Notamacropus eugenii: one gene and its partner. The protein of the gene in region 1 purifies or fractionates together with the protein of each later gene. This does not show direct contact. Links are inferred from orthologs where the notes say so. Each region holds a gene or a part of one and is shown on either strand. Other genes may lie near its edges. The genes, in order: DET1 and COP1.

Region 1 (15,401 bases):
TGTATACATGTATATGTGTACATACATATAAATATATATATATATACAATAAATGTATACACTCACAAATCATTACACGAAATTTCCATCTGAGAAAGGCAGGTAGATATTTACTACGAAAGTATCTTAGCATTTCCTTCAATTCAAATAAAGATGTTTTAGTCATTTTTCTCACTATTCTATTTTGTTGCCTTCTTACATACTTTCCCACAGCCAGTGCAAAACATAAAACTAACCTTTGAATCAAAGACAATATTCTCAGGATTACTAGAAGAGAATATAAAGGCAATTGTAGCTCACACTCAGGTTTTGTCTGAGGCAGGTTTGGCAAACAGTGCACCTTATGTTCTAATCAATATAGCACTGGTGAATGAATAAATAACTTCGATACTTGTCTTCTTTCTTGGCTAAGAAAAATGGAGTGGCAGTCTCTCAAAGACTCAAAAAATATTGAACTGTTACCAGTATGTGGTTAGTGTCCATGATTCAAAACATATTGTCAGTCTGAAGACCAAGGGAAAACCTCCTTATCACCCTGCTTCCCTAGAATCATCAGCTTAATTTTGATTTCTGATTCTTGCTAGATTCTTGCTTAGAGTTGTTATATAAATTTGTGATGGGAGAATGCCAAACACATTCTCTTATTTATGCCTGACATATAGTCTTAGTATGTAACACAAACTAAAATTAAACTGCACATATTATCCTATTATCTTCTATGAAACTATGGACAATATACCATATCCCCAGGATTGCTGGAGTAACCAATCCAGGTTTTGCAAACAGCTCTTTATTCAATAAAACCCAATACAACTCCTAACATCTCTCTCATGTCCTGTCAAATGACTTCAAGAAAAAAATTATATTTGCATGCTGATAGCTTTCTGCAAATCCTCAAGCCAAGAAACTTTGATGTAACAGAAAAAAGAGGCCATCTCAATACTATTCATACTCTGTGCTCCAAGTTTTCAGGGGACTTCTGCCACTTGGCCCTTACTTTCCTTAAGTACTTATGTAATGTAGTCTTATCTCTGCAGCTTTACTCGTACTGTTTTCCCAATGTGTACAATGCCTGCCTTCAACACTTGCCTAAGTGTTGCCTACCTTTCCTTCAAGGCCGTGATGCCTTCTTAAACTGGTCTGGTCCTCAGCAATCATTCCCTCTTCTAGTTTCCTATAGCACTTATCATTTGACATTTCCTGTCCCATATTATTAATCTTTTACATACAGGAGGTCCTATATAAATGTTAGACTGAACATGTTTTACTTCCAGGCTAGACTGGTCTCCTCAAGAACAGGAATAATGTCTCCTACCTCTTTGCATTCCTAGCATAGTGCCCAAAGAGTATCAAATAACCACAGAATTCCAAAAGCAGAAGAGACTTTAAAGTCAATCACATTTCACTCCCTGTTTCCCCCTCCCTTTCCTTTCCTACTATAATGGATGAGAAATCAGGGTCTAGATAAGTGCCCTGCCAACAATCAAACAGTTCTTGGCAGAGCTAGCACTAGCATCCAAGTCTCCTGACCCTTGGGTCTAGCACTCTTTCCACTATCCCACAAAGCTTCACTTGTAGGTACCCAGTAACTGTTGTTGGCCTATGGCCAAAACTAGGTCAGGTGAGGTGTACTTGTTGGAAGCTTAGGTTGGTAGCTCACCGGCGTTGGATCTGCCTCGCAAAGTTGTTGCTAGAAGCTGAACAGGGAAACTGGACGGCTTCACTGTGCAGGGTAGCATTGCGGAAGAGGTCACAGAAATTCTCAAAGAGCTCCAGCAATTCATCCGAGGTATTCTCAAATACTGCTATCACCTCTGTCGTCACCATATTGTACACAACAAAGAAGGAAGGCTGGAAAGGGGGAACACATGTAACTGTTAGCCAGCTGAGTAAAACCCATGGCTAGGATGACCCTTCACATTGGGCTAAAAATTCAAGCTACTCAAGAGAAACAAGAAAATGTTCCTACTGTATGGGTCAATGGGGAAACAGGTCCCATGGCTCCAGGTGCCTCAGGGAGCCTCCATTGACTTTATCAGTCAAATGCCTCTACGATGCCACATTCCCCACTGTAATTGTGTTGCTGAAATTATCAAGTTGGCCAGTTTAAAAAAAAAAAAAGGCTTTCAATCTTTCATTTCAAACTGTGTGCTTCAATTTCCCTCTCCAACTGTTTCTTCTTTCTCTGCTCCCCAACCCACCCTGAGATGAAAAAAGTCAGTTTTTAAAGTGCCAGATTTAATTTTATTTCCTGCTGGGGAAGTGATTTACAGCCCAGGGTTGGCTGCTGACAGATTATTTTCTCCTGTGTATGTACAGTTGAAGGTTCATTTTTTGGCATCTATTTTTCCTCTTAACATTTCCAACATGCAGAGAGGCACCTTAAATGCATTGTGTTTTGAAACTGCCTCAGAAAGTTGTGTCCCAGCAGCATCCTGCTGCTGGACAAATGAAAATCCAGAGAGGCATTTACTGTTTCTTTCTTGACAGATGCTCTTTTGGCCAAAAGCATCTGTATTATCCATGTGGGATTTAGAGCAATTAGAACCATGGGGGGGAAAGAGGGAGGGCAGAGCAGTGATGGGAGACAAAGAAGCAGAAGGACCTGAAGCTCATTCAAATGCCACAGGTGGAAGTACCCAGAGCAAGTTGGGAGTTCAGACTTTTTCAGAGTGGGCACCTGGATGTCCAATTCTTTCAAACTGTTCTTTAGTTTGCTCTGATCAGTCTGACAATAAGAGAGCCCCAGGATTTTTCCAAGGTCAATGGAATGCCAAACTAAAAATCATCTTTTGGTTTCATAGAGGAAGATAAAGTTATCAGACATTAAGTATTTTTTACTTGGGTTGGATCTGAATCTCCATTACCCATTCCTGATGCAAATAGTTCATGCTACAATGTGACATTTAGTATAGCCAAGATATTTAATCTGCCTATAATGTAAAGAAACTGAGTAGCAATCTGAGACCAATTTCCTAAATACTACCCCAAGGCTCCTTATTTAAATGTACTTTTTACTCATTCATCTTCATAATATCCACAGAAAGTGATTGATTTTACAGGAAGTAGGCACAGAAGTTTCAGGCTGAGGTCACAAATTATGTAGAAAAAGAACTGTACCCTAGCATCCTAATTTCTCAAGCCATGATTATTCCATATCAGTCCAGAAAAAAAAAAGGGGAGGGGGTGTTTTAGCTAAGGATCAAAGGATAATTCGATTGTGATGAATATGATTTGGCAATTTATCACCAAAATGAAAATTATCACCCAAACCTAAATAATGGGTTTTCTTGCTTCACATCTTGTCTTATATGTATCTTTTCTACAAATCTGGTTCAGCTCTCTGATTTTGTTGTTTTACAAAGATATTATAGGAAAAAAGGGAATTTAGCTATGCATGTTAAGTGATTATTACATGAATTACATGAATATGCAACAGGGTTTTCTTCAGCTAAGGTTTTCAGAAAAGTAAAGACAGACAGGGTTCAAGGAGCAAAGGACTGTGTAGCAAATCTTTTGAGCACTGTATTCTAAAAGATAAGTGTTCACTAATAATGATTCAATGGGCTCACCAACAGATAACTATGGGGAAGAAAATAGATTTCTGGGATGATCATGATAGTTTCCACTAACAACTGAATCTTTTTATAGAACAAATAATCCACTACTCTCAAAGGAAGGAGATTGAAATTATTTTTCCATAAGCTAGCTAATAAGCTTTTTTGAGTCCTACAAAGACCTCCAGTAGTGAAACGTGGTCAACAAGAAGATCTAGAGCTAGGAGTTCTTAAGTTAGAATCTATGAACTTTAAAAAATTAGATCACACTATTTTAATATAACTGGTTCCCTTTATAATCCTGTGCATCTTATTTTATGTATTTAAAAACATTACTCTGAGAAGGAGTCCACAGCATTCATCTGCCTGCCAGAGGAGTTCAAGACCCAAAATCGTTAAGAACTTACACTCCAGATCATTGGTCTGAATATATAGTTTTTTTCCCTGCTATGGACAAAAGGGTCAGAACTATTTATGAAATGATATAACACTAGGAAGGCAAATAGCACAGACATCAGGCGAGCTGAATTCTCCATCTGTCAAATTCAAAAAAGGCAAATTCCAAGAAGAAAGGCAGTCTACTCCAAGATCAAATTTCAAATAAATTATTTCCTAGGTCCTTGGGTACTCTTAAAACTTAACTGATCTCACTGATCTTTGAGAGCTCTCTTCTTCCTATAAGCACATTCAAAACAGTGAATAAGCCAGTTTTCACCAAAACTGAATAGGCAAGAAGCTAGATATCAATTTTACTTAATATGAGAAAAGATTAGCAATGTAGTGGCCCTTTCACATACAGTCCAGATTATTCAAAATAAAAGAGCTTGTGAATCGTGAAGCACTTCATTTACTTGTTTTGATTTTTTTCAATGTTCAGTAGTCCCTCTTTTAGCATGGGGGCAAACTCTGTAAAAAGAGGTGAAACTCAAAGTAACCAAATTATGTTTATTAATTGCTTTATGGAAAAGTCTAGTGAGGGAGCTGACATTTTAATTACTGAATTGTGAAAATGAGATTTCCAATTATTGGAACATTTCTTTTTACCCTGGTAGTCTGTCCCCATTAGTAGAGCTAAATCACTCAAGGTGGACAAATTATCCATGGGTAGCAGAAGCTTTACTGCTAATAAATTTTTGGCCTTTCTCCGGAGAACCCTGAAAATACAATCACCCCAGACGCATCAAAATGAAATGAGACACATATCCAAGAAAATCTCAAAAGGACAGAGTTTTAGCATGTATCTGCATTATAGAGATCTCCCAGAATCTTGGGAAGGAAAAGGAATTTCTAAACATTATCTAATCCACTCAAGGAAATAAATAGAGCTAGAAAAATATAAACTTGATTTTGGCTTTTGTAAAACCAAAGGTAAACAAAATTTAAGACTATGCCAGGTCCCTTGAGCTAGCAATGCAAAAACAGGCAAATGCAGACATAACGGAAAGAACACATTCAGGAGTCATAGAACCTGGATTCAAATCCCACCCCTGGTGCTCATCACCTATGTGACTTTATGCAAATCATTTAACTTCCCTGGGCTTTAATTTCTTCATTTGTAAAGTGAGAGAGGCTGGACTAGACCATCTTTTGAGTTCTTTCCAGGGCTAGAGCTAGGATTCTAAGATCCTACAGCAAATATGTATGGTCCCTCATTCTCAGTCTCTCAATATGGCTGAATATCATCCAATACCTGTGATGGGTCTGTGACCCGTAGTGTCACTACATCCTCACTAGTGTACTTGATAAAGAGGTGATTTTCATCTAGAAGCTGCATCTTCCACATGCGCAACTGTCGTAGCTGGTCAAAATACTGGAAGAAGCGCCTCTTGGCCATGGCACTACCATCCTGCTCTGCCCGGCGCCACAAGTATACCAGTAGCCGGTGCTTTAGGGAATTAATGAAAGGCTCCTTGTAGGGGTTGGCCATGCCTGTTTGGCTGTCTCGCTGTACCTCAGGGTAGACAGCTGACAGGGTGAGCAGGTCATCCTCATAGCAGAATCGACCAATGGTACGGACATCAATAAAGGTGCCCTCAGGAGTGACTTGGAAGACATGAATGGTCTGCTGCTGTACTGAAAGAATGGCTAGTATGTTCTTATATAAGTATAGCCCTTGATTGTGGGACAAGATCACTTTATCACATTTGAATGTGCGGGTGTCACACAACCTGCCAGTGTGAAGATCAATGATATGAAGGGAATAGTCCTCCAAAGGGGAGCGGGGATTTGGTGTCACTGACTCACTGTTGCGATAAACTTCATAAAAAGGAGGATGAGGCTCTTCAGGGAGGTAGGCAGCTGAACCCACAATGACACAACGGCAGTCATCTGTGAAGAGGCTACACTCACGATTTAGGTGTTCACCATTAGCCGCAACATTGGTGATATGCAACAAGACGAAGAAGCGTTCAAAGAGTCGGCCTCGGATGTTGACTGACCTCTGGTCATTGCCATTAGCCAAAATTTCACCCTCATAACCCTGCAGTAGGTCCTCTGCTGCTTGGCAGCCCTGGTACTCGTAAATCTCCAGTGATGTCTGGTCTGAAGAAAAGGCAATAAAGTAGCGCCCATCAGGTGAAAATTTTCGCAGGAAGCAAGGTGGCTTCTCCACATTAACCACAGTAAAGTTGGGGAAGACGTTCTGGTGGAACACTCGAACCTGGTGCCAGTGGGTACCAGCCTTGCCTGAACTGATGCGCCGACGCTCCAAGCGGTGGATAACATTTTGGTTCTGGATTCTTCGAGGTTTGATTGTTGGAACATCATGATCCATCATCACAGCATCTTATTTCTGGATGATTAAGAGCAGAGTGTCACACATAAAATGAAAAAAAAACAAACAAACAAACCAAAAACCCAAGTTCCCTTTCCAAACACACATCATCTCAGGGTTTACCTAAAATCTTCCACCTTTAGGTCACAAGGAAACAAGAGTAAACTTCAAGTCTGTCCTCAGCATGAGAATAATGGGAAGAGCTTAACACACTAGAAATATCTCAAGAACGCTTAGCTATAATGTGTTTCCATCAAAAACATCTGAATCACCAGAATATGTGAATTCAGAGTAAGAATTCCCAGTTAAGAATTCCCTTCCCTAAAACATATGAAGTCATTTTAAAGTACTGCTCTCACCTTAACATTATCAGTAGCCCCAATGTAGAGCATAGACTTTTAAAGAATGATTTAAGAAGCATTAATTCAAATTTAACTTCATTTGAAGACATTTACTATGCATAGTACTTGGACTACAATAAATGCTTGATAAATGCTGGTGATTAAGCACTTACTATTTATGAAGAACTATACTAGGAATTATTACATGCAAAACACTATTTGATTTAAAGACCATGACAAGAGTTTGGTTTCTCCCCCACTCTACCCCCTTTTATGCTGCTCTTCTACTCTAAGAGAATCACTCAAAATTAAGCCAAGATGAAAGTTCAGAAACAGTTTCATAAACCTCTTGTTTTCATACTGTGCTTCTTCCATTTTTTTCCGCAATGTCCTACTGCCGCCTCCCCCCAACAGCATTCAACCCCTCAAAAAGGATGTTGGAGTGGTGGGAAGAGGCCCCTGGCTTCTGATTAAAACTCTCCCCCCCATGCTGGTTTTCTAAATTACTAAGACTCTGGAACTCAATTCACTGGATCATAGGATTCAGAGATAGTTTAAGACAAAAACAAAACCTCAGATCATCTAGAATAAGAAGCTTCTCAACCTTTTTCATTCGTGATATTCTTTGGCTTTAAGGAAACCTTTCAGTTTCAATATGAAAGGAGATATTCTAGAGTTTACCATGCAAGAGCATGTAAGAAATAAAGAGACTCGTTTTTCATACAGAACACTTTATTCAGCGTGTAACACTTTTAGTATCATAAAATAATCACTAATACCACTACTTTTGGACTATTTCAATAAAAAAGCCAAGATATTTACCACTTATTCCCTCAAACCCCTCAACGAGAGGCTCACACCCCGGGGGGGCGGGGTACTTCCACCCCAGACTGGCAAACCCTGATCTAATCAAACCCTTTCCTTTTCATAGACTAAAAAAAAAACTAAGGTCCTGAGGGGAATGAGGCACTTTGCACGGGTATGAACCTAGCTCTTCTGCCTCCCAATCGGCTTCTCTTTCCATGACATCTCCCTGCCTCTCTTATCTATCTTTTCCAGACTTAACCATAGAGGAGTTGGTTTAAGGGCAGTCTCTCCCCATTTCCCCAAGAAGAGGAGAGAGCCGGCGGCAAAGGTTACGGAAAGCGGGGAGTGGGTGGAGTCCGGGAACACCGTGGTGCGGGGCACAAAGCCAGGCAAGGCCGGGGCTGGGCCCCGGGCCCCGGCCCTTACGCCCGGCTGACCTCCGAGGGCCCTTCCCGCTCTAAGCCCTGAGGCTCCGCCAGAAGGGGGAGGCCAGCCCGCGGGGAGCACGACTTTCAGGGGCAGCTGGGCTGGGGCTCGGTTAAACCTCGGGGCGCGGGGGTCCGGGGGAGGGAGGCCGGGGAGGAGCGCGGCCCAGGGTCCGGGCGGCCCGGCCGGCAGGAGGGGGCCGCTGGCCGAGAGGAAGGCCCGAGGACCAGAGAGCCGACGAAGCGGGAGAAGGGGAGCGTCCTCACCCGTCCGTCCCGCGCCCCCCGTCGCGCCGGGCTCATGAGGCCGGGGCGAGGGGATCCCCGGGCTGCGCTGGCCGCACTCCGACGGCCGCCACGGCCGCCGCCGCCACCGCCATGTTGCCACTGACGCCGGCACCCGGCGACAACGGCCGGGATGGCCCCGTTCCCCCCCACCCCCCTCCCTCAGCCGGCCCACGGAAGTGAGGGCCATAGAGTTGGAAGCGTGCGCAGAGAGCGCACCATCGCCTGCCCGGCAAGAGCGAGCGCGCCCCCTGGCGTCCGGAGGTGAGGTGAGCCCGCCTGAGCTCTAAGCGACCACGCCTGCTGAAATTGACTCCCTCCTTAGCAGCCGTTCCCGTTGCCTGTTTGCTGCTCCTGGGGGCACAGGATGATGGAGCGGAGCTGAAGCACGCCTTTTCATTTTACAGATGAGAAAACTGAGGCCCAGAGGAGGGGGGTCACACTGCTAGTGGAGCCAGGATTCCAACCCTAACCCCCTCATCACCCGTCATTAATTACCCTCTGTATGACATTCATTGTTTTGATTCTTCAGACACCGTTCAATTCCATGTCTTGTTACAATGTAGCAATGCCCAGAGCCTGCTGATATTTAAGAGATGGGTGATTGTCGGGGGAGGGGAGAGAGAATTCAGAACTGAAAATATAATAAAATAATGAAGCAAAATAAATTGTGTATAATAAAATAAAAATGAATTTTAAAATATATGTTTAATTTTAAAAGTAAAGCATGGCCCTTGGCTTTCATGGGAACCTGGGTCATTAAAGTAACTTTGTAATTTCCTGAAGGAAATCAGCTCGTGGTCCTCCTGTTCAACTCTGCCCAACTTGTCAGTCAGTATTGTCTGTCTCAGGTATACATATTTGTGGACAAACCTCATAGGTTGCATTATAAATATCCTCTGGATATTGCTAAGTATCTATTAGATTTGAAACATAGTAGTAACATATTTCTTGTAACATTATTCTTCTCTGGAGTTAAAAATGACAATCACATAGAGGAAAATAGAGAAAAGTACAGTGGCTGTGAGCAAGCTATAATATATGACCAATGATGAACTTGGAAGAAGACCAAGAATAAAAATGCCAGGAAAATCAGATGGGCTGGTTATATGTCATGTGGGATTATGGCTACATATCTGGAGTAGTCCACTATTACCTTCCCAATGTTAAAAAGAAAGACCTCCAGCATCATAGGGGGGTCTTCTGTGGTGAATTTTTTGCAAGACATGAGCAAGTCATACAAAATGGTCAAGCATGAATGGATTGCAATCTGAATAGAGAAAGGCTTCCAAATCAATGAGATCAGAGATCCATTTGATCAAGAGTTTCCTCTTGGCCAGATCAATCTCTTTAAGATACAACTTGAAGGTAGCCATCATTTAATGGCTACCATTGCTTACTAGGATAAAATGGAAACTTCTGAGCCCTTCCTAGTCTCTAGACTCCTCAGTCTTATAGTCTACTGATCTCATAGATGAAAGAACTTTCAGATTTAGCCTGAATGGTCTGTTCACTGGTTCTTAAACACTCACCATGTTTCAATTAATAAAAATAGGCGAAGTGCTTACTATATGCTAATCACTTTATTATGTGCTGTGGATAGAAAGACAAATATGGAAACAGTCTAGTTCAAACTTCTTTCCTCTATCATAGCTTTATCTGACCATATTTTAGTTGTTCGATTGTTTCAGTTGTATATGACTCTTTGTGGGTTTTCTTGGCAGAGTTACTGGAGTGGTCTGCCATTTTCCTTTTCAAGATCATTTTACAGATAAGGAGAGTGAGGGAAATAGGTTAAGTGACTTGTTCAGGGTCACACAGTTAGTAAGTCAAATCTGATGGCAGATTTGAAGTCAGTAAGATGAATCTTCCTAATTCCAGGTCTGGTAGTCTATTCACTGTACCACCCAGATGCCCATTTCTCTAACCACCCCAGCCCACAATTGTCAAAAGTCGTGGATTTATCAAGCCTGCAAAGTAACCTGAGGAAGAGACTAGAGATGGAACTTGCCAGTCAAACCAAACCATAGCTGTCACCTGAAGCATCTCCTTCCCTCAGATCCCAGTGGAGACAGGTCAAGACACTTCACCTAAGGACTCCTAAAAAATGAATACTCTCCCCTACTGTCCCTTTCCAGTCTGTCTGCCCAGTCTGATCATCTAGCGGGGCAGCCCTTGTGGGAAAAGGGGCCATCATATCCATCACTATCAACTGCTATCCAGCTGGTAAACCCAAGAGCCCTAGAACAGTAGTCTCCCCAAGTCCCTCTCCCCAACCCCTAAAGACCACTGTTTCCAAACTGGCCCTGTAAGCCATCAAAGAAGGGGTCAACCAATGTGGAGACTGGCAACCTGGCAACTTCCTCTGCAGGGGCTGCAGCCCCTGCTTCCTCAGTAATCACAGCTACTAAAGTTCCAGAGACCCTTTTTCTGCCAAACTAATTTCCACTTTTCACAGTAGTTCTTGGAGACTAGGGAATGCATCCCCTGGTAGTTTATGTTCTTGTGGTTATAGAATACAGGGCTACTGTGCTGGATTGCTTCTGATACTTGTTTATCTAGTAAGTTCCACTAGTCTACTGTTCTGGTTTATTTTTTTTAAAGCTAGTACCAAATAATTTTGATGACCACTAGCATCAAAGATAATGCTATACCTTCTTCATTCTTATTTTTCCTTTTTTTTTTTTGAAATTTTAGACCTTTTGTCCCTCCAAATGAACTTATTATTATTTTGTCTAGTTCTAGAAAGTATTCTCTGGGTAGTGTGGTATAGCACTAAACTACAAGTTATTTTAGGTACTATTGTCTTTTTATTAAATTGCATAGTCCAATCGTGAGCACTGCGTCTCAGTTCAATTATTTGTCTCCATATTTCTGCAGAGACAGTTGTGGCATAGTAGATGAAGACCTTACTCTCAGAGCAATGCTTCTGACACGCACTAGCTCTCTGACTCCTGACAAGTCACTTAATCTCGCAATATTCTAGGTAATTCCCTAAGACTGACTGAAATAGTACAAAAAGTTACCACATACAGGAGATCTTTATAGCAGTAAAATCGCAGATCCTGTCCCTGCCACTATTCTTATTTCTGTAAAGGACAGAAAACACATTTTCTAGTTCTGGTTCTGTTGCTAATCAGTACGAGACCTTGGGCTATCAAATCACATCACTGTCTGATCCTCAGTTTCCTCATCTTCAGAGTAAGATGAATATATTTGATGGACTCTAAGGTCTCTTCCAAAAACCTTATGTTGTTATGATCTCAAGTTATGTTATGATCTTAGCTAATGAATCTGACTTTGAAGTCTTTACCTCAATGTTTAAAGGCTATAAACAGATAATATTTACTAGTTGTGTTTCCTCTTTTATCAATGAACATTAGTCCATTAACCTACACATATTCAAATGGAAAAAGTAAACAAAATTGTTGGTAGGTGTGTAGGGAAATAGTTACCTCTTGAAATATAAAGTAGGGCAATATTTCTATAAAGCAATCTGGTAGTAAGAAACAAAACATCTAAGACTGGATGGTGCTCGTTGCTCCAGTAATCTCATTATTGAGACTATATTCCAATGAAACACTTAAGGGGGGGGGTAATATTGGGACAAAGTTCCTTATAGAGGTCGTATGATCCAGACCTATAATTTCATAGGTTGGGGGAATTTCCTACACTAATGTAGATCAGTGACTCCTGTGAAATTTATTCTCTTAGAGAGCTGCCTGCTTCACTATGAGGTTAAATACCTTCCTTGTTCTCGGTTATAAAGTCATTATGTTTCGGAGGTCTCTCTGACTCTAAAGCTAACTCTCTATTTAGCTGTATTATACATAGTAGCAAAATACTGTGTGTGTGTGTGTGTGTGTGTGTGTGTGTGTGTGTGTGTTCCTCCTTCGTTGCTGAAGAAGACCATGCCATCAGAGAAATAATGACATGACTTGCACTTGACTTTGTATACTAGACACAACCTGAATGCCCAGTGGCTGGGAAATTAGCATAGTTAGAATTAGAATATGGGAAGGTAGGCAGCTGCCAAGGGTACAACATATCTGAGACAGAGGTTTTTAATGTTACTTTTTGTAGTAGAAGCCATCTCCCTAATATACAGCAACACTAGAGGGGGGAGGGGCGAAAAGTGGTACTTCACCTCCATCACTCACCTCCTTGCTCTAAATAAGGCAGGAAACAATCAAAAGTACTTGGAATAATCCATCCAGTTAACCAAACTTCTCTACTAGTGGGCAATGCTAATCTGTAGGCAGTGAACACAATGCCCTAAACTGGAGAATACATGATATCAGAATAAATTTTGCCCTGAACTAACCCCATATCAATAACAGAAACCCATTCAAAGGTGAGAAGGGAGGGTTTATGTTCCTGACTGCCGGGCAAGTTTCATTGTAAAGCCAGGACTATCATAACCATAGTGAAAATTTAAAAATTAAAGCTTCAGTCACTAGTGACTACTTAGTCTGCCTTGTATTTGAGCTGTGAATCTGCCACAAGAGAGACTTTCAAGAGCCTCATTGAGACTGGAACAAAATGAAGCTTCTCTCTTATTGCCCCACTCCTGACCCTCAGAAAAGGAGCTATCTGATATGTTCAGTATCTGCCAGGAGACATGGAAAATTACAGGAGCTGTGGTGACCAGCACCTTTCTGGAGAGCAACAGGAAGAGTGATCCCTGATCCTGGTGGCTGGGAATTTCAGAGCGCAGCAGTGGAATGAAGACAGGTTCTATGCCTAGTTCATGACTATAAGGGACTGAGTCTGTACAGGTCACTGGGGAAGGGGCTGTTCATTTGCAGGTGTTGATTTGTTACCTATTCACAAAGGGTTCAATTTGTTTTCTTGTCCATGTAAATATATTTTTCCATCTTTGAGTGTTGTGTACTATATGCTTATGCTTATGCTTATGAGGGGAACTGATAACAACATAATGGTTGGTGTCATTTAGTGAATATCTCAAAATCTCTAGGTAGTGGCCATGAGCCAGAGATTTGAGAAATCCCTTTAAAGTTTCTTTCTTGTCTTGGAAGAAGCTCTGATTCAAGGGTTATATTTTGATAAGTAAGTCTATTTTAAATTCCAGAAAATTATGCCCTCTACGGCCCTGAGATTCTATTTTGGTCTAAATATAGGATGTATCCCTATATTCTTTGAAAGGAAATATCTGTATATGGAGTAGTTCTTTCTGAGATCCATAAGGCCACGAAGATAACTTCTACTTAGAGGGTAGATTCAATCTGATTACTGGAGATGCCCACTTTTTCTGTCCTAGTTGGTTCAGACCGGACCTCTTATATTAATTAACACATAGTGCATCCTTGCCTGGGATGTCAGAGATAGGAAACCAATCAGACTTGCCCTCCAGAAACTGTCTCTTCTTATAAAGCCTATGGCTTTCAGCTACCACAGGGAGCTACCTTGGTACAAATAGTTCAAATTTCTTTAGCTTTTTGCTACTCGCTTACGTTTGATTCTTATGTCACAGCTGCATGACAGACAGCATGCTTAGTGAGGGTCTAAAGTAGAATGTAGCAACTATTTGACTAACGTCATGGTTGAGTGGGGTTGTGCTGAAGACCTTATGGGGTACAGTAGTTTAGATCCCCACTAAAAATTGGTCCAACAGCTGTTACAACAACCCAGTAAGGCAGATGCTAGTATAATCTCCACTATGTGGCTCAGGAAACCAAGGCTCAAAAAAACTCCATAGTTTACTCAGTCACCCAGTAAATATTTAAGCTAGGATTTGAAGACCAGTCTTTCTGACTCTGACTTCAGTGATGACTGACATTCTGACATCCTGAACTGGCTAGGAGTCAGTTGGAGATTGGTGGAGATAGATATGATGAGTCTGAGGGACTGTTTCTCTGAAAGAGTAACTCTCCCCAAAATCAAGCTGCCTGGGAGTTCTTCAGACCACTCAGGTTGTATTCTTTCTGCTTTGTCTTGCTCCTGGGTATTCTATCTGGGGCTTTGAGCTTCTTTTTGTGTGAGTAGAAACCTATGCATTACTGGCCTGATTCTGTTGTGAAACTCCATCTAAATCCCCAGACACTTGTAAAGGTCTGGGACTATAAGTATATCCTGAAAAGTAACGCTGCTTAGAGTTCCCACTCAGGTTTTACACATTCAGGATTTGGGAGTGGAGTAGGGTAGATAGGTAGTGGAGTATACCTGATATTTAAAAGTTAATCAATCTACAAGCATTTATTATATTCCTCATATTCCAGGCCCTGTGCATTGGGTTATAGTATATAAAGAATGAAACAATCCCTACCCACAAGAAGCTTACATTCTAGGGGGGGAACTTACCAATAAAGCATTTACATTGTGATAAATCAAGCCCCATGTATTTTAGCAAAAGTTCAAAACTCCTAATGGAAAGTAACACACAAAGGGAGCACTTTTTAAGCAGAGAGAGACACAGTTTCTAAACATTGAGCAGGGTTCAAATACCAAACAGAGAGCAATAAAACTACTAACTGGTTCTGAAATAGACAAACTAAGGTAACATGTCAATGCAGGGGATGTTGACCTGAAGAATTTCATATGTCTGCATACAGTATTATATATAATGACAGACTGCCTACAACATATAAAAATGATACAAGGCATACAATTTCATATGATCATAATAAAAAATACAATTCCATATAATCATGATAAAAAAGTATACTAAGGAGGTATATGTACCTATTAATTTTAATAATGAATGTTGTTTAATAAAAATTGTGCTTAATAAACTTTGCCATAGAAAATAGTCTTTTGTTTTATTTATGCACACCAATATCTGTTTGAATGTCTGAGAGATGGCTAGGGCAGAGATACAGACAAAACATGTCTTTCTCAGGGCATCATCAACCTAAGGAAGCTGCCTAGAGACTCCCACCTCCCAAGAAGCCACTCATTTATTCCAGTAATAAACCCATTAGTAACAATGCTCCTGGAGTGCAGAGACTGGTTCATTTTTGTCTTATATCTCCAGGTCCTGAGAGGCAGTATAATTGAGTGTTCTTTTTTTGTGTCATGGACTCCCTTAGCCATCTGGTGGACCCCTGTGGATCTCTGTGGACCCCTTCTGAGTGTGATTTTTTTTAATGCATAAAATAAAATAATTAGAATTATAAAGAAAAGCAAACATTAGTGAAAATAAAGATTTTGTTTTCTCATCCAAGCTCACTAATCCTCTGAAATCTATTCAAGG
Region 2 (15,231 bases), on another chromosome or scaffold:
GACTATATACTCTTCTCTTATGTACTTCAATTATGGGATAGTGATTTCTTTGCCTTCCTTTAACCTTTCTTCCTGGACTATAATCCCTTTTCCCTCCTTATTTTGCTTTCTCCTAAAACCATTAAAATAGAACAAAACCACCCACACACCACCTCTCATTTTAACTTTCTTAGCAATTTTAGAGCTCTGAGAAAGCCATTTATTTCTTATCTCCATATCAACAGAAAAGCAATTCATCCCTACATACTCCCTTTTAATTAGACAAATATGTATGCCTTTCTATGTTTCTCTGAGTACCTGTTTTTCCATTTTCAAAAATCTATTTATTCTGTTATTTTTATCAGGAATGCTTGGAAATCCTGTCTTCCACTGAAAGTGCTTTTAATTCCTCCTTTCCCTCTCCCCCTTCACATCACTGCTGGTAGAATTATACATAGTTTTGCTGGATGGACTTTGTTTGTAAACATTTATCTTGCCTTTTGGAATTTCATATCATGTTCTATTTTCCTTAACTTTTAAGTGGTAACTACTATATCTTGGGTCATCCTTGCCGTCTCCTTGGTACTTGATCTCCTTTTTGGGTGTCTATAGTATTTTATCTTTGACCCTGAAGTTCTAGATTTTGTCTACGATGTTCTTAGGAATTTTGTTTTGGGATTTCTTTCCAGAAGTAACCCAAGATCCTTTCTATTTTTATTTTGCCCACTGATTTCTTCTTGACCTATTTTTCCAGGTCAATTATTTTTATATTTTTTACATTTTTCCTGTGCTTTCCTCCAATCTTTTGGTTTTGTTTTTAGTATTTCTCACATTATCGAATTATTGCTTTCTGTTTGACCTATTCTAATTCTTCTGGACATTCAGTTCTTAGATGAGGTTTTTCACTGTTTCTTCTAAGATGTCTAATTTTGCCTATCATTCTTTTCTATTCTGTATCTCATTTCATTTCTTCTAGCTACTCCTGCCGTCCTTGTGACCAGGATCGGATTTTAGTTTGTTTGTTTGTTTACGTTTTAGCCTCTATTTGAATTTCCTGTGGAGTTGCTTTTCTCTTCAGATTCACTCGTGGGTATCTCTCAAACCAAGGATTTCCTCATGGTATTTGGTCTCTCTCCCAGATCTTAAGAGTGCCTAGGACCTGTAGTATCTTCTCTCAAACCTGGAAACCAGAAGACTATGATCTCTCTCCCAAGGTCCTGCCATCCCTCATGCAGGCATGGAACACTGAATAATCAGTTTCCATCAGTGAGGAGAGTTTCATACAAATAGGCCTTGAAATGCTTATTATGAGTATATATCCTGTGTTCAGCTATGTATCCTGTCAGTAAGATATAAGCATTTTGAGGGCAGGCATTTTCATTTTTAAAAAAATAGAATTTATAATGTCTAGCATAATGCTAGCATGTTAATGCTTATTGATGCAGGGACTGATTGGGCTTCTGAAGAAAAAAAGGCATATATACACATATTTATATCTATACATGTATGTATATATAGGTATATACACATATAGGCATATATGAGTATATACCTATGTATGTATGTGTGTATATTATATATACTCACACACATATATGTACATATATATGTATACATGTATATATATATACACATATGTGTGTGTGTATATATATACACATGTGTAGATAGATATTTGAGGAAGTGGTTTCATCCCTTTTGAACTCAGTAGAGTGATAGATCTATCTATGTGTAGTCAGAGACCTGGTGCTACTACTTCTCTGTAAAATATCTATTTAGATCATTGTGGGTCACATCAATGTCCACCAGAAAGATGTCTCATGAGAAGTCTAGTTTTGGTAACAGAGATACTCCAGGAGAAGTATTGTATACTGCTGTGTGATCTTAGGCAAGTCACCTTAGGCAAGCTCACTTTCTGAGCCTCTTAGGACTAAATGATCTCCAAGGGCTCTTCCAGTTCCACACACAATAGTCCTGTAGGATTGGTATTCAGCTTCAAAAAATCGGTTGCACTCTCCTTCCTCTCATACCCTTCCCACCCCCGACTCATCTCTTATTCTTAGTTATAAAGAGTAGCCCTCTGGGACAGGGAAGATGTAGGATGCATTGGGAATTCTAAGTGATATAAAAACAAAATTTCTTCCATTCTCATATGTATATGTATGTATATGTGTGTGTATCTGTATATACTACATAAATTGTTCTGAATACAAGGGTTTTTTGTTTTGTTTAATTCACAAACTTTCAATTCAGTTTAACAAATATTAAGTGCCTCCCACATGCCAGATACTATTCTAGGTTCTGGGGAAACAAGTCATGAAGAGAGCTTCCCTCTTTGCTTCGAGCCAACAATGTATGCAAGCTCAGGTCTTGGGCGTTTGGGGGACGGCAAACTCCCCTTTTTTTTTTTTTTGCTAGCTACATGTGATTTGGCACTGAACTTTCTTTTGAGATGATGAAGCAATCCCTTTATTAGCTACTGAGCAGGAAGAGTCAATGAGTCTGGACCTTTGAAAAGGGAGTGTCTGATCCTGTTTCCCTCTTCTATTAACCCTCCAGGTGGCATCATATAATTCCGAGCAGAGATATGGGAGGCAGCTACATGGCACAGTGGAAAGAGTGCTAGTTCTAGAGTCAGGAAAATCTTAGTTCACATCTGACTCCAAGTAGTTATTGGCTGTGTGACCCTGGGCAAGTCATTTAACTACTGTTGGCCTCAGTTGCTTCATCTGTGCAATAGGCATAATAATAACACTGACTTCTCAGGGTTGTTGTAAGGTTCAAATGAGATAGTATTTGTAAAGCTTTTTGCAAAGTGCTATATAAGTGCTAATTTTTATTACTATCACTGTTGTTGAAGCTGTAGCACTTGTCCTGCCTAAGTGAGCTTGAGATAGGTTCTCAGAGCCCTAGACGACTCTTCTGTTTTGTGTTTCTTTCCTGAGGTGAGGACAGGTGAATGAACATTGATATTGAGATGGAAATGTCTAGACTTGGAGGTGACCTTTTGAATTTAAGAGATCACTTATGAGTTTAAGAGATTCTGGGTCCATTGGATGGAACTGACTGATAGGGAAATTGTTGCATCAGTCAAGACGACCACTGACAGGAGGAGAAACCAAAACTCTGTCTTGGCTGGCAAGTAGAGATAGACTTTGAAGGAACGGTACAGAACTGAGGATAAATATAATAATGCTTTTTCTTAATATGCAAAGTGCTTTATATTCTGATGAAGTTTAAATATAAATTTCCTAGGAGAATAACTTCAGTGAAATTCCTGAATCTTGTTTTAAGTCTTTCTGTTAACGTATGCTTTATATTTGAGATTTTGCATTTTACTTGTTGTAGATAATAAATACCTGTCCTATACCTGATTCATATTTTACTTTGAGTTCTTTTCTCCAGATCTCTTTGGAGAAGGCCTAGACATGAGCCAAACTTAAGCTTTAAGTAAATCTTCCCCATGGCATTGAATTGGGAGTTTTCCTAGCTGAAGATTATGAGAAAAGAAGCTTCACTTCTTTCATTAGAGGCTAGACTCCCACAAGACTGAACGTAGGCCAGAGTGCACATGTGGGTTGAGAGCATATTGGGTCCCTTGATGGAGAGGGTGCAGTAACTCAACCCCTAGGCCTCAGCAGTGATTTTAATTATTACATGAAGAAATAAACATCTATCTCATGCCTGATTTACATTGGACATTGAATATTTTTCTGCTCCACTCTTTGGGGAGTCCCTAGAGATGAGTCAAACTTGAGCTTTAAGTAATTGATCCCAGGGAACCAGAGTTGAGATTTAATGAGTCAAAGAGTTGAGAAAAGGGAGCCTAACTCCTTTCATTGGTCCAGGATCCCTCAGGACTGAACCCAATCCAACTGAGTGCTTGGCTCTAGAGGTGGAGAGGGAGAGGAAAAAAATACCTTGAGTCCCTTGGGCCTAGCAGAGGGTTTTAATTGTTAAAAAAGAAAAAAAAAAACCCAGCCCTTGTCCTCAAATGCTAATATTCTAGTGGCCAGTTAAATGGACTTGAAGTCAGAATATCAGAACTCCTAGTTCAAGTGGTTCTGTCATTTACTAGATAAGGGACCTTGAACAAATTAATTAATCTCCCTAAGATGAGGTTGCTTCATCTATAAAATGGGAATAGTGCTTATACTGCACAGCTCAGTCATTGTTAGAATCCAGTGATTTCATATGTAGAGGGAGCCCCATGTGTGGCAAGGGCCCACATATAGTAAGGGAGTGTTGTCCCGTGGCTTGAAGGGAGGCAGAATAAACACCTTTGGTCTATTCTCTCCCAGCCTTTCATTAAGGGAGACTTTAATTTCTGACAGCAAGGAAGGAGGAAGTTAGGCCCAGAGGTCACCACTCTGGTTTCCTCAGAAAGAGTTGGTATGGAGATAAAATTTTATCTGTCTGCTCTCTTAAATATTGTTAGTCTAGGGGATACAATCAGTTTTAAACTAACTTCTGATTACTGGGGAGAAATAGGACTCTCAAGGCTTGACCCATTTCCCACCAAATACCAGTTCTACAATGAACATCCACAGCAAACAGCAAAAAAACCCCCAATTTATCTAAATTATAACAAAACAGAAATCACCAAAAGTATACACAGGAGAACATATACCAGACAACATGTAGCGAAGGCACTCTCCTACTGGGAGTAATATAACTCAGCTCAACTAAGAGAGAGAATTCTGGATCTCACCCAAGGAGAAACTCTGAAGTTGCTAGGGTAGCAAGCTAGGGATAGGGACATGATAGAGTCTGCGAGCTCCTCTCAAGTTTTCCCAGAGTTTTTTCTCATCAATCTTGAGTATAGTTGGTCTCTTCCATTTTCCTTCTCAAAGCTGGAAGACAGAGCATGCAAAGTAAGGGGAAGCTTTGAGAATCCCAAAGAAGATTGGATGAGAGAGAGCTCTTAATGTTACCTTGTAGGGTTGGGTATTCATCTCCCCCAATAAGGACTCTGTGCTTCAAGCAATGGACTTTGGGACTGCATGCATTCATGCTTCACACTTTGATAACCTTAGAACACTGAAAAGAATAGATGAGGGCCATTATTAAAAGACTTGTGATTTAATCATACATGGCACAAGATTCATTATAGTGTACTATCTTTTGTTTTTGGAACATTTTTTCATTTTTTTTTGTTCTTATTGAATCTATTCTCATATACCTCTTTTATTTCACCCTCTACTCTCCTTATTCCTCCTTTCTTGTTGTGTTTCTGAGTTCCTTTTTTGTACTTTCCTGTTTAGTGACTCTGAGGTTTTCCCTTCTGCTTTCTCACATTTCAAAATCTGCTTTCATGTTGAAAAACTTTTGCCAACAAAAATAATAAGAATTATGTAGCACTAAATTCTTTGTACATTTTTCCAGCTGAAAAGGAAGATGGGGTTGTATCCCATTCACTCATTTCCTTTGAGATCTTAATTCTGAATGAATGAAGATGGCATTTGAATAAGCATTGATAAGGACAATGACAAATTTCCTTAAATGTATTAGTTGGTCCCTTGTTGCTTTCCTTCACAATAATTATACTTACAATTTTCCAATTACAGGCCAGGGAATATATCAAATTTAATATGTCAAATTATGTTCCATGAATCATGACTTCAGGGAATATGTCAAATTATGTCCTGTTAATCATGACTCTAAAAGGAGAGATTTAGAAATGATCTCTAAGGCCTTCCCAATCTTAAATTCTATTACCTTATGAACCTTTCCTGTTCTTCATCTCTAGCACTAGTCTTTTTTATTTGTTTTGAACTTCATCCTCTTTGCTAGGCAGCATGACTTGTATCCTCACCTTGTCACTTTTAACTTCACTCAATCTGTTTAAGTTAAAGTTATCATTTCCCCTCTAACTAGTTCTCTACTTTGGAATTTCATTTCTGTTAAAGGTACCATTATTCTCCCAGTTATGTGAATTTGAAACCTTGGGAGTAATTTTTTACTTCTCCTTATTTCTCCCCCACTATCCAATTAGTTACTAAATTTTCCTTGATTTGTTTCTCTCCTTAAAGTCTGTTTAATTGACTAGACCCCTTTTAATTGTATATTCACTGTCAAGACCCCTAGCCTCCTATGGTAATTGTCTCCTACCAGCTTTCTCTGCCTTCAATTCTTTCCACCTTTCCCCCCATCCTCATCTATTCTACAACCAATTGTCAATATTTTTAATACGTTGTTTATCTTTGCCCTTTTTTGATACCTTCCCCCTAGCTATCCCCCACTACTGTCATGTTTAGAAGATAAATTAAAACTGCTTAGTCTGTCATTCAAGGGCTTCCACAGTATGGCCTTTTTCTATCTCTTCAGCTTTAAAATGAATCCTCTACTATTGTCAAAATTGTCACTACTGCTCTTTGAAACACCATGCACAATCTCAATTTTGTACAATCTTAGCTAGATTTTTCTTTCTCCTTTTCCTCATTTATCTAAGTCTCCTACTTTCTTCAAGGTCCAACTCAAATCTCACCTTCTCCCAGAAGAGGTAACTGCCTGGTATGGATGTCCTTTATGCCTTTCACTTGCTTCCACATACCATGTGAACCAGTGATGCCAGCTTCCCTGCAGTTCCTTGAACGACACCCCATTTCTCTGCTTTCAGTGTTGTCATTGTCCCTCATGTCTAGAACTCTCTCCTTCATCTCCTTCTGGATTCCTTCAAGTCTCATCTGAAGACCCATTTTCTGCAGGAAGCCTTTTTCTATTTCATTTAATGGTTATGCTTTCAAACCTTGATTATCTCCAATTTATCCTAAGTCTTGTAATTCACTTATTTACTGGCATATTGTCTCCCCATTAGACTTGAGAGTAGGGACTGTCTTTTATCTTTCTTTGCATCCCCACTGCTTAGTACAGTGCCTGGCACACAGAAGGCATTTAATAAATACTAGCTGAATTGACTGGACTGTGTGAAAATGTATGCAACATTCCACGCCTAGAGTGGGCACTAAATGCTAGCTGACTGTCCCAGTTACTTCTTTGTACAACTCATTTGATGGCTCCTTCTCCTTCTTCTCATGTATCCTTACATATATCAAGTTCCTTGAAGGAAAAGCTTTTTATTCCCAATATCCAGCATGTTGCCTTAGGTCTATAATAACTTTTCAATAAAATATTAGCTGAGGATACTTAGATTTAGTTTTATATTCAACTTAATTAGCATTAATTTATATTTGACTTATAAAATATCCACTGTATTTTCTATAAAACAAACTTTTGTTCAAGAAACTGCTTTTTAGCAGTACTAAAGTTTCATCTCAAAATTTAAGGATTTTATACAATTAGATCCATTTATGGTGCTGGTGTTAAAAGATTATATTAACCAAACCACTTCACAGCTTAAGGGTTCTTAGCCTTGTGTATGTATGTGCATGTGTATGTGTATGTGTGATGGATACCCTTTGGAAGTCTGGGGAAAGGTAAGGACCTCTTCTCAAAATGTTTTAAATGCATAAAGTTACAAAGGAAGGCAATTATAATGAAATAAGTGGTCAAAATAGTAATTAAACCAATCTATGAACCTTCTGGAATCTATATATTAACCTCATGTTAAGAACTGATGTAGTTGCCAAAGGTTTCACTTTTTTAGAGCAGACTGGTATGATTCCATCAGTGGCATATGTAAATTTGTCGATGATGACAAGCAGCTATATTTTAATTTCATAATATTTTTCTTTGTAGTTAAGGTGGTATTTAGGTATTTTTGAGATTCTGAAAGAATATGGCTGGTATTTCGTTACTCCTGAATGCTGGGGTTAATCCGTAATCCTTGGGTTTGGCTCAATAAGTAGGTAGTAGGTTGGGCAGGTGTGTCCGAAGATATTGGGTGTTACCTTTGTAACAATGTAGTTTCCATAAAGGCAGTCCAGATGACTGCCTGGGTTGCTGGGCCTTCCCACTCATGCCCAACCAAGGCCTCACCTCTCCTGAAATTTGCTTTTCCTAGGGCAAGCACCTAGAGGACTCTTAAGGTCTTCCACAAACTTTGAACAGGGTTCGTTAAAAACTGAAAACTCTATTTAGAGGATCAAAGAAAAGTTGGCCTTGAAAAGGATCTAGCCCAATTCCCTCGTTTAGCAGATGATAAAAATGAGGTCCATCCAGAGAAGCGAGGTGAGAGGCTTGGTCAATAAACATTTATTAAATACCCCCTCTGGGGTAGGCAACTGCCTACCAACCCCTGTTTTCCTGAAGTTTATACTGTAATGGAGGGGACAACATATCAATAAATTTATGCAAACAAGCAACATAAAGGATAAATTGGAGATAATCCACAGGAGGAAGGGAGTAGAATTAAGGGGAAATCAGGAAAGGCTTCCTGTAGAAAGTTCTTTGGGGACTTGAAGGGATTCAGGGAAGCCCGGAGGCGCAGAGGAGGATGCAGAGGTGTGGACTGGAGTGCAGGTCTTCTAATTGCCAGCTCCACCATAGATGTGAGTGGAACTGAAATTGCACCCTCTCCACCACTGAAGGCATCTTTGGCTCTGTACCGAGTCTCGCTTTCTCCGCTGGAACATTCCGCCCGCTTTCATCAGCTAACTTTCCTTTTTGACTCTCGGTCCTTGCCCTCCTCCTCCTCCTCCTCCTCCCCCCTCTCCTCCCTCAGGAATGCTTGGGAATCCTGCGCACGCGCAGTGTCGGAAACCACCCCGTACCACAGACTCCCCTCTAGGTCTCCTCACTCTTAGGAATGAGGATATGCTCGGTTCGTAATGCGCTTGCGCAATCGTTGGCCGATTCGCTTGCCTGGGCTCGGGCACTGTGGACCACTCTCTACTCTGGGCGCTTCTCTTCTCCCCGCCCCTTGCTCACTGCCCTCCTACCCCGGCCCCACTTCCAGTTTCTGCTGTACGTCGTGAATCAATAAAGCTTTCAACAAGGAATTCTTCCGTAGCTAGGCAGTGGTCGCCGCCGCCATGGGTGTGTGTTGTGTGTATGAGCGCGGAGGCTGCTGCCAATAAAGTTGTACCTCTCGGGCTTCCTCCGCCCTCCCCATTCTCTCGGCCTCCGTCTAGAGTGCGCGTGCGCACGCTCTCGCCGGCCTCGCTCGGGGTTGGCTGCCGCAGGACTCGGGGTGGGAGCTGCGGCCTCGAGAGCGCATTTTTCCCCCTCCCTCCCCCTCCCGGTGTTCGAGTTGCCCGGCTTCCTCCCGCGGGCCGCCGTTTGTGTTCGGTTTTTTTTAAACAACTTTATTGTTCCCTCCCCGGTGGCAGCCCCCGCCCCCTGCGCTGTGCGCGTCCTCAGGATGCACTGAAGCTGCAGGGAGGCGGCGGCGGCGGCGGGTCCCGGTCCCCGGTCCCTCGTTCTCTCCTCCGAGTACCCAGCCCGGGGAAGGGGGGGTTACGATGTCCGGCAGCCGCCAGGCTGGTCCCGGCGCTGCCGGGACAGGGCCCAGCTCCTCCGCGGCCTCCTCAGTCACTTCCGCCTCGTCGTCGTCGTCCTCGTCGTCGTCGTCGCCGTCGCCCCCGTCCCTAACGGCGGTGGTGGCCGCGGCGGGGTCCAGCGGGGCCGCCGGCTCGGGGGGCCTCGGGGCCGCCGTACGGCCTCTGCTAGTGGCCGCCGCCGTGTCGGGCTCGGGCGGCGGAGGAGGCGGGGGCGGCGGGGCCCTGGCCGCGGGCCTCTCCCGGCTTGGGGGCTCCGCCAGGCCCGGGAGCGCCGTCAGCGGCGGCGGGGGCAGCTCGGGCGGCGGCAGCAGGAAGCGGCCTCTGCACACCCCACTCTGCAACGGGCTCATCAACTCGTACGAGGACAAAAGCAACGACTTCGTCTGGTGCGTGGAGAAGCATCCCTCCTCCTCTTCCCCTTCTCTCGCTGGGATGGGTGGGATCGGCGGGGAGCAGGTGATGCCCAGCGGTCCGGGGGCCCTCCCTGGGGGGCAGCCCTGGTGGGTGGCGAGTTACACCGGGAGGGCAGAAGAAGGATTAAGAGGAAGGAGTGAGGAAGTCAGAGCTCCCAGTTCAGCAAGTACCAGGCGTAGGAGCTCCCAGACTTGTTGAATGGAATTGAAGTGTGGGAGGGCGTCTCTGGTGAAGTTTGAGAGTGAGGATGGAGGCCCTTGGAATGGCAGTGAACTCTTTGGGCAACCTTAAGTTTATGGAGGGGATGGTGACTAGAGAGAATGCGTTGGAATTGCTCTAAGTGAAAGGGATATGGAGTGCCGTTAGACTGAACTTTCTGAAAGTAGACTATTTTTTTGCTGTTATTTGTATCCCCAGTGCTTAACAACAGTGCCCGGGAATATCCGCGATGCTTCATAAATGGTAACTGAGTGACTGATTGATTACCTGTAGATGGGCTAAGCATTGTTTAAGCTATACACAAATGTACAGGATCTATCACTACTCACTATTAACTCATATTCATCGTCTGTGTACAGTGAATCTTGCCAGTGAGACTATTAGCGTATTTGAAGTCAATGAAAAACTATCTTTTAATGTCTTAGGTGTATTTCAGTGTACCACATATATTGTACATGATGTTAAACACAGTTTGTAGCACTTTAAGATTTATCATAAAGTGTTTATTAAGCATCTAGGTGCGAGGGCCTGTGCTAAGCATTGGAGGTGAAGTGTAAAAAAAAAAAAAACAAACCTGAAAGAAACTGTTTCTGTCCTCATGGAGCTTATGTCTAATGGGGAGATGTGCACATGCCCATATTCAAGTATGCACGAAACAAACTGAAAGTGGTTTTTGTAGGGAGAGAAATAGTGGTTAGGGAGAATCAGGAAAGGCACACAGAAAATGATACTGAGTGGAGTCTTAAAGGATTCCAGGTATTTCAAGAGATGGAAGTAAGAGAGTGCACTGCAAGCACTGAGAGATGGAGCTTCATCATATGTGAAGAGCAGCAAATAGGCCAGCTTGAGTTCTTGAAGAAGAGTAAAAGTGTAAGAAGACTGGGAAGGTAGAAAAGATGATACCAAAACCTTTTGAGTTTAGTAGTATAAGAAGTAGTATTACCATTTTGCACAAGAGGGAACTGAGGCTCACATGGGTGAAATGATTCACCCACTGTCCATCAGCCAGTAATCATGAGAACTGTGATAAGAAACCAGATTCTGATTCCAGTCCAGTGTGGCTTGAGGCGACTGTTGGCACAGGGAGTAGAGGGCTGGGCCTAGACTCAGGAAGCCCTGAGTTCAAATCTAGCCACAGACACTAGCTGTGTGTCACTTAACCTGTTTGTCTCAGTTGCCTCTACGGTAAAATGGAGGTAATAACAAGCACCTACCTCTCGGTTACCCACCTCAATCCTGTCAGGATTGTTGTGATGATCAAATGAGATAATATTTGTAAAAAAGTACTTAGGATAGAAGAACATAGTAGGTTCTTTATAAATACTTATCCCTCTTGCCTTCTCCACTGTATATAAGTTATTAGAGGTTGGATGGTTGTGATTCAAATTATCTGTGGCAATTAATAGCCATGGTTGTTGGTTTTTTTGGGGGGAGGGGCATGGGGCAGTTGGGCTTCACCCCCAAAGAGAAGTGATTGTTACATAAAGAGCAGTTTGGAATTTGGGATTCTCTTCAGTGTCTGTAGTTTTGATACAATGATAACTAAAGTTGTCTAGATTGATGATTGTCGTGGAATTTGGAGGTTGATTTTAATGACTTACATTTGTATAATCACGTGTATAACAATGATCCTTCTACTGATGCAGATTGCAGTCATTTATATCTTAGTAGACTGCCTTCATGAGTTGCTGTAGCTGACAATAATAATAACCAGCCTTGTGGGGATGAGCCTCCCGATTTTGACAGGCTGGTTTTTTGTCTCCAGATTGGTAGTTGAAGCATTTACAATTTAATAGGACCTGCCAAAGCCTGTTCTTCTTTAGCCTAACCTTAAAAAACCCAGTCACCTCCATACCATGAAAAGTAGGACAGAGGAGGAAGTGAATGAGGCTGCTGGAATTCAGATGGGCTGGGTGATTTGGCCGATGTCACATGACTAGTTAGCTTCGGAGGTGAGACTTGACTCTCTCTTTCCTTCAACATTTATTAAGCACCTTTCGTAAGCCGGGTATTATAGACCTTTGGTGTAATACAAAGTAAAAAAAAAAATGAAACAGTGATCAGAGGACTAAGGACTTGGAGAGAATGATACAAAGTTTTAAGTTAGTTACTGTTTCGGTTCTCATGGAATTTACAACCCAATCCTGCAAGCATTTATTAAGTGTCTATTCTGTGCAAGGAGCTTGGGATACAAAGATAAAATGAAAAAATGAGATAAGACACAGACATAGCATCTGTTGACACTATCACTCTCCTCCTTGATACTCTCTTGTCTCTAGGTTTTCTAGACACCCCTCTCTCCTGGTTCTTCTCTCTGACCAACTCCTCAGCCTCCTTTGTTGGATCCTCCTCCAGATCATGTCCTTTAACTGTAGGTGTACTCCCAAGGTGCTCTCCTGGGCCCTCTTCTCTTCTCCCTATGTACTACTTCACTTGGTGATTTCACTAGTTTTCATGGATTTAATTACCATCTCTGCGCTGATGATTCTCCCATCTACTTATCCTACCCTAATCTTTCTGCTGACCTCCAGTCTCAAATCTCCAAATGCCTTTCAGATGTCTTGAACTGAATGTCTTATGAATACCCTAAACTCAATATATCCAAACCAGAACTCATTATCTTTCTCTTTTACATCACCCCACCCCCACTTCTGCTTTCCGTAGTATTGTAGAGGACAATACCATCTTCCTTATTCCTAGTCCCTCAGACTCACAACCTAGGAATCATCCTGGACTCCTAATTCTCTCCTCCTACACCCCACCCCAGTCTTTTTTCCCCTCAGCACTATCATATCTGTTGTCAAGGCCTGTTGATTTCACCTTTGCAACATCTCTTGAATACACCCCCTTTTCTTCTTTGACACTGCCACCATTCTAGTACAGGCCCTAATCACCTTATGGTTAGGTCATTTCAGTAGCCTTCTGGTGGGTCTGTCAGCCTCAAGTCTCTCCCTATTGCAGTCCATCTTTCATTCAGTCACCAAAGTGATTTTCCTAAAGCTCAAGTGCAATGAACCATGTCACTCCAATATTCAGTGAATTCCAGTGGCTCCCTGGTTGCCTTCAGGATCAAATACAAAAGTCTCTGTTCGGCTTCAAAGCCTTTTATAACCTAGTCTCTTTCTACCTTTTCAGTTTTCTTACATTTTACTTCTTGATATGTACTCTTTGATCCAGTGACAGTGGCTTCTTGGCTGTTCCATGAATAAGACACTCCATCTCTGGGCTGTAGATATTTTCTCTGAATATCCCCCATTCCTGAAATGCTTTCCCTCCTCTGCCCTGATCACTGACCTTCCTGGCTTTCTTTAAGTCCCAACTAAAATCTTATCTTTTATTGCAGGTCTTCCCCCATCCCTTAATTCTAGTGCTTTCCCCTCTGTTAAGTATTTCTTATTTATCCTGTATATAGCTTGCTTTATATGTATTTGTTTGCATGTTGGCTTCTCCATTATATTGTAAATTCCTTGAGAACAAGGATTGTCTTTTGCCTCTTTTTGTATCCCCAGTGTTTAGCATAGCAAATAGTAAGTGCTTACTAAGTGTTTATTGATTGATTGAAGTGCATTACAGAGTTGAAAATCAAAGTCATGCCATGTCTGACATGACTAATAAAAGTTTGGGGTAGAAGAGAGAATCAGGGAAAACTTATTGCAGGTTTTCTTAACTCAATCATAGGATTAGAGCAAAAAGGAACCTTAGTGATAATTACTGTAATGATAGCTGACATTTATGTATTAATTTAAAGTTTACCAATTGCTTTACATATGTTACCCTTTAAGCCTTATCTTAATCTGTGAAGTAGGTATTGCAAGAGATAGTATTATTTCCATTATGTAGATGAGAAACCTGAGTGTCAGAGAAAATGATTTGGTCATTGTCACACAGCTAGTAATTGGAATCCAGGTATTCTTTAGTCCAAGTCTCCACTTGTCTCCACTATTCTTTCTGTCTTATAGCTCCTCTAGTGAAATTTAATGATTACTCCATGATACAGCTAGTAGCAGCATCTAGACTTGAACCTTGGTCTTTTGATTCCGAATTCATTGCTTTTTCTCCTACAATGGGCTGCTTTCAAAATGAAGTCATTTTTCCCTGCCTGGGAATTGAACCCTGATTGCATTGAGATCATAACATATGAGCAGTTGGTTGTAAAAAGACAGTGGAGACATGATTACTCTCTAGGTATTGGGAGGGATATGGAAGTAGAGAGGTTAACCTTAGTAAGGCATAAGCCAAGTCTTTATATGAGTCAGGGGTAAAGGAGGAGATGGTGGTAGAAGGCATATGAGTGATATGAGATGAGGAAGAGGGGATGATGAATGGCTTCAATTTTTTCTGTAAAATATGAGGCAAGTTTCTCAGCTGAGAGGGTGGGGGAAATGAGAGCCATGGGAAGTTTGAGGAGGGATGAAGAAATTTGAAAGAGCCACTGTAGAGAGTAGCGTAGTGAGTTCAAATTGAACTTGATACTTCTGATAGGGCCAGGATAGATGGATGGATGAACTAAGCATTTATTAAGTGCCTACTCTAAGTCATACTGTGCTGAACCTTTTAGAAGTATCTCATTTGATCTCACAACAACCCTTTGAGGTAGGTACTAATATTATCACCATTTTACAGTTGAGGAAACTGAGGCAGATAGAGTTTGACTTGCTCAGAGTCATACAGCTGGTAAATATCTAAAGCCAAATTTGAACTTAGATTTTCCTGACCCCATTCCCAGCAATCTATTCATCATGTTATCTGACTGCCTCCTGGTGTCTAGGGACAGTTTTATGGATTGGAAAATGTTACTGGTTTTGGCCGTTGGAATAAAGGTAATTCCTGCTGATAATTTCATTCATTTCTATTTTATCAGCTTTCACTGATGTGTGAAACCACCTTGAGCCTTGAGTGAATTGATACTTTCATTTTGATATTTTCATTGTACCCTTTTTAAAGGGTACAGTACTCTTCTCTTGAATACTAGATAAATTTTAAATGATGTTAATCAGAATTTCATTAAGTGACAGATATGTTACCAATTACAGGGCAGAGAGAAAATGCTACCTAAAGCTGAAGGTAATGTATGCAGTATTACTGTATACCAAAATTGAGACAAACATTTAAGATAGTTTGTACTTTTCATTGTATTACTTATTTGCATTTTGATCATGTGCCATAGTGAAAACTCTAGATCTACAGTGAAAAGATTTCTGTAGAATTCCTGGGTTTG

The links.
Region 2: the proteins of DET1 (region 1) and COP1 purify together in Homo sapiens (affinity purification with western blotting; 11 studies listed by BioGRID and IntAct, counting the BioPlex papers as one, with this or other methods). This does not show direct contact. The link is inferred for Notamacropus eugenii from reciprocal best matches to the Homo sapiens genes DET1 and COP1.

The regions. Positions count from the first base shown.
Region 1 is NC_092872.1:168,071,186-168,086,586, forward strand, and holds the start of DET1 (DET1 homolog), read right to left. Parts: upstream 8,363-15,401; 5' UTR 8,171-8,362; intron 6,349-8,170; 5' UTR 6,334-6,348; coding exon 5,248-6,333; intron 1,852-5,247; coding exon 1,661-1,851; intron 1-1,660. UniProt on the Homo sapiens protein: Component of the E3 ubiquitin ligase DCX DET1-COP1 complex, which is required for ubiquitination and subsequent degradation of target proteins. The complex is involved in JUN ubiquitination and degradation.
Region 2 is NC_092873.1:470,075,271-470,090,501, forward strand, and holds the start of COP1 (E3 ubiquitin-protein ligase COP1), read left to right. Parts: upstream 1-9,190; 5' UTR 9,191-9,341; coding exon 9,342-9,766; intron 9,767-15,231. UniProt on the Homo sapiens protein: E3 ubiquitin-protein ligase that mediates ubiquitination and subsequent proteasomal degradation of target proteins.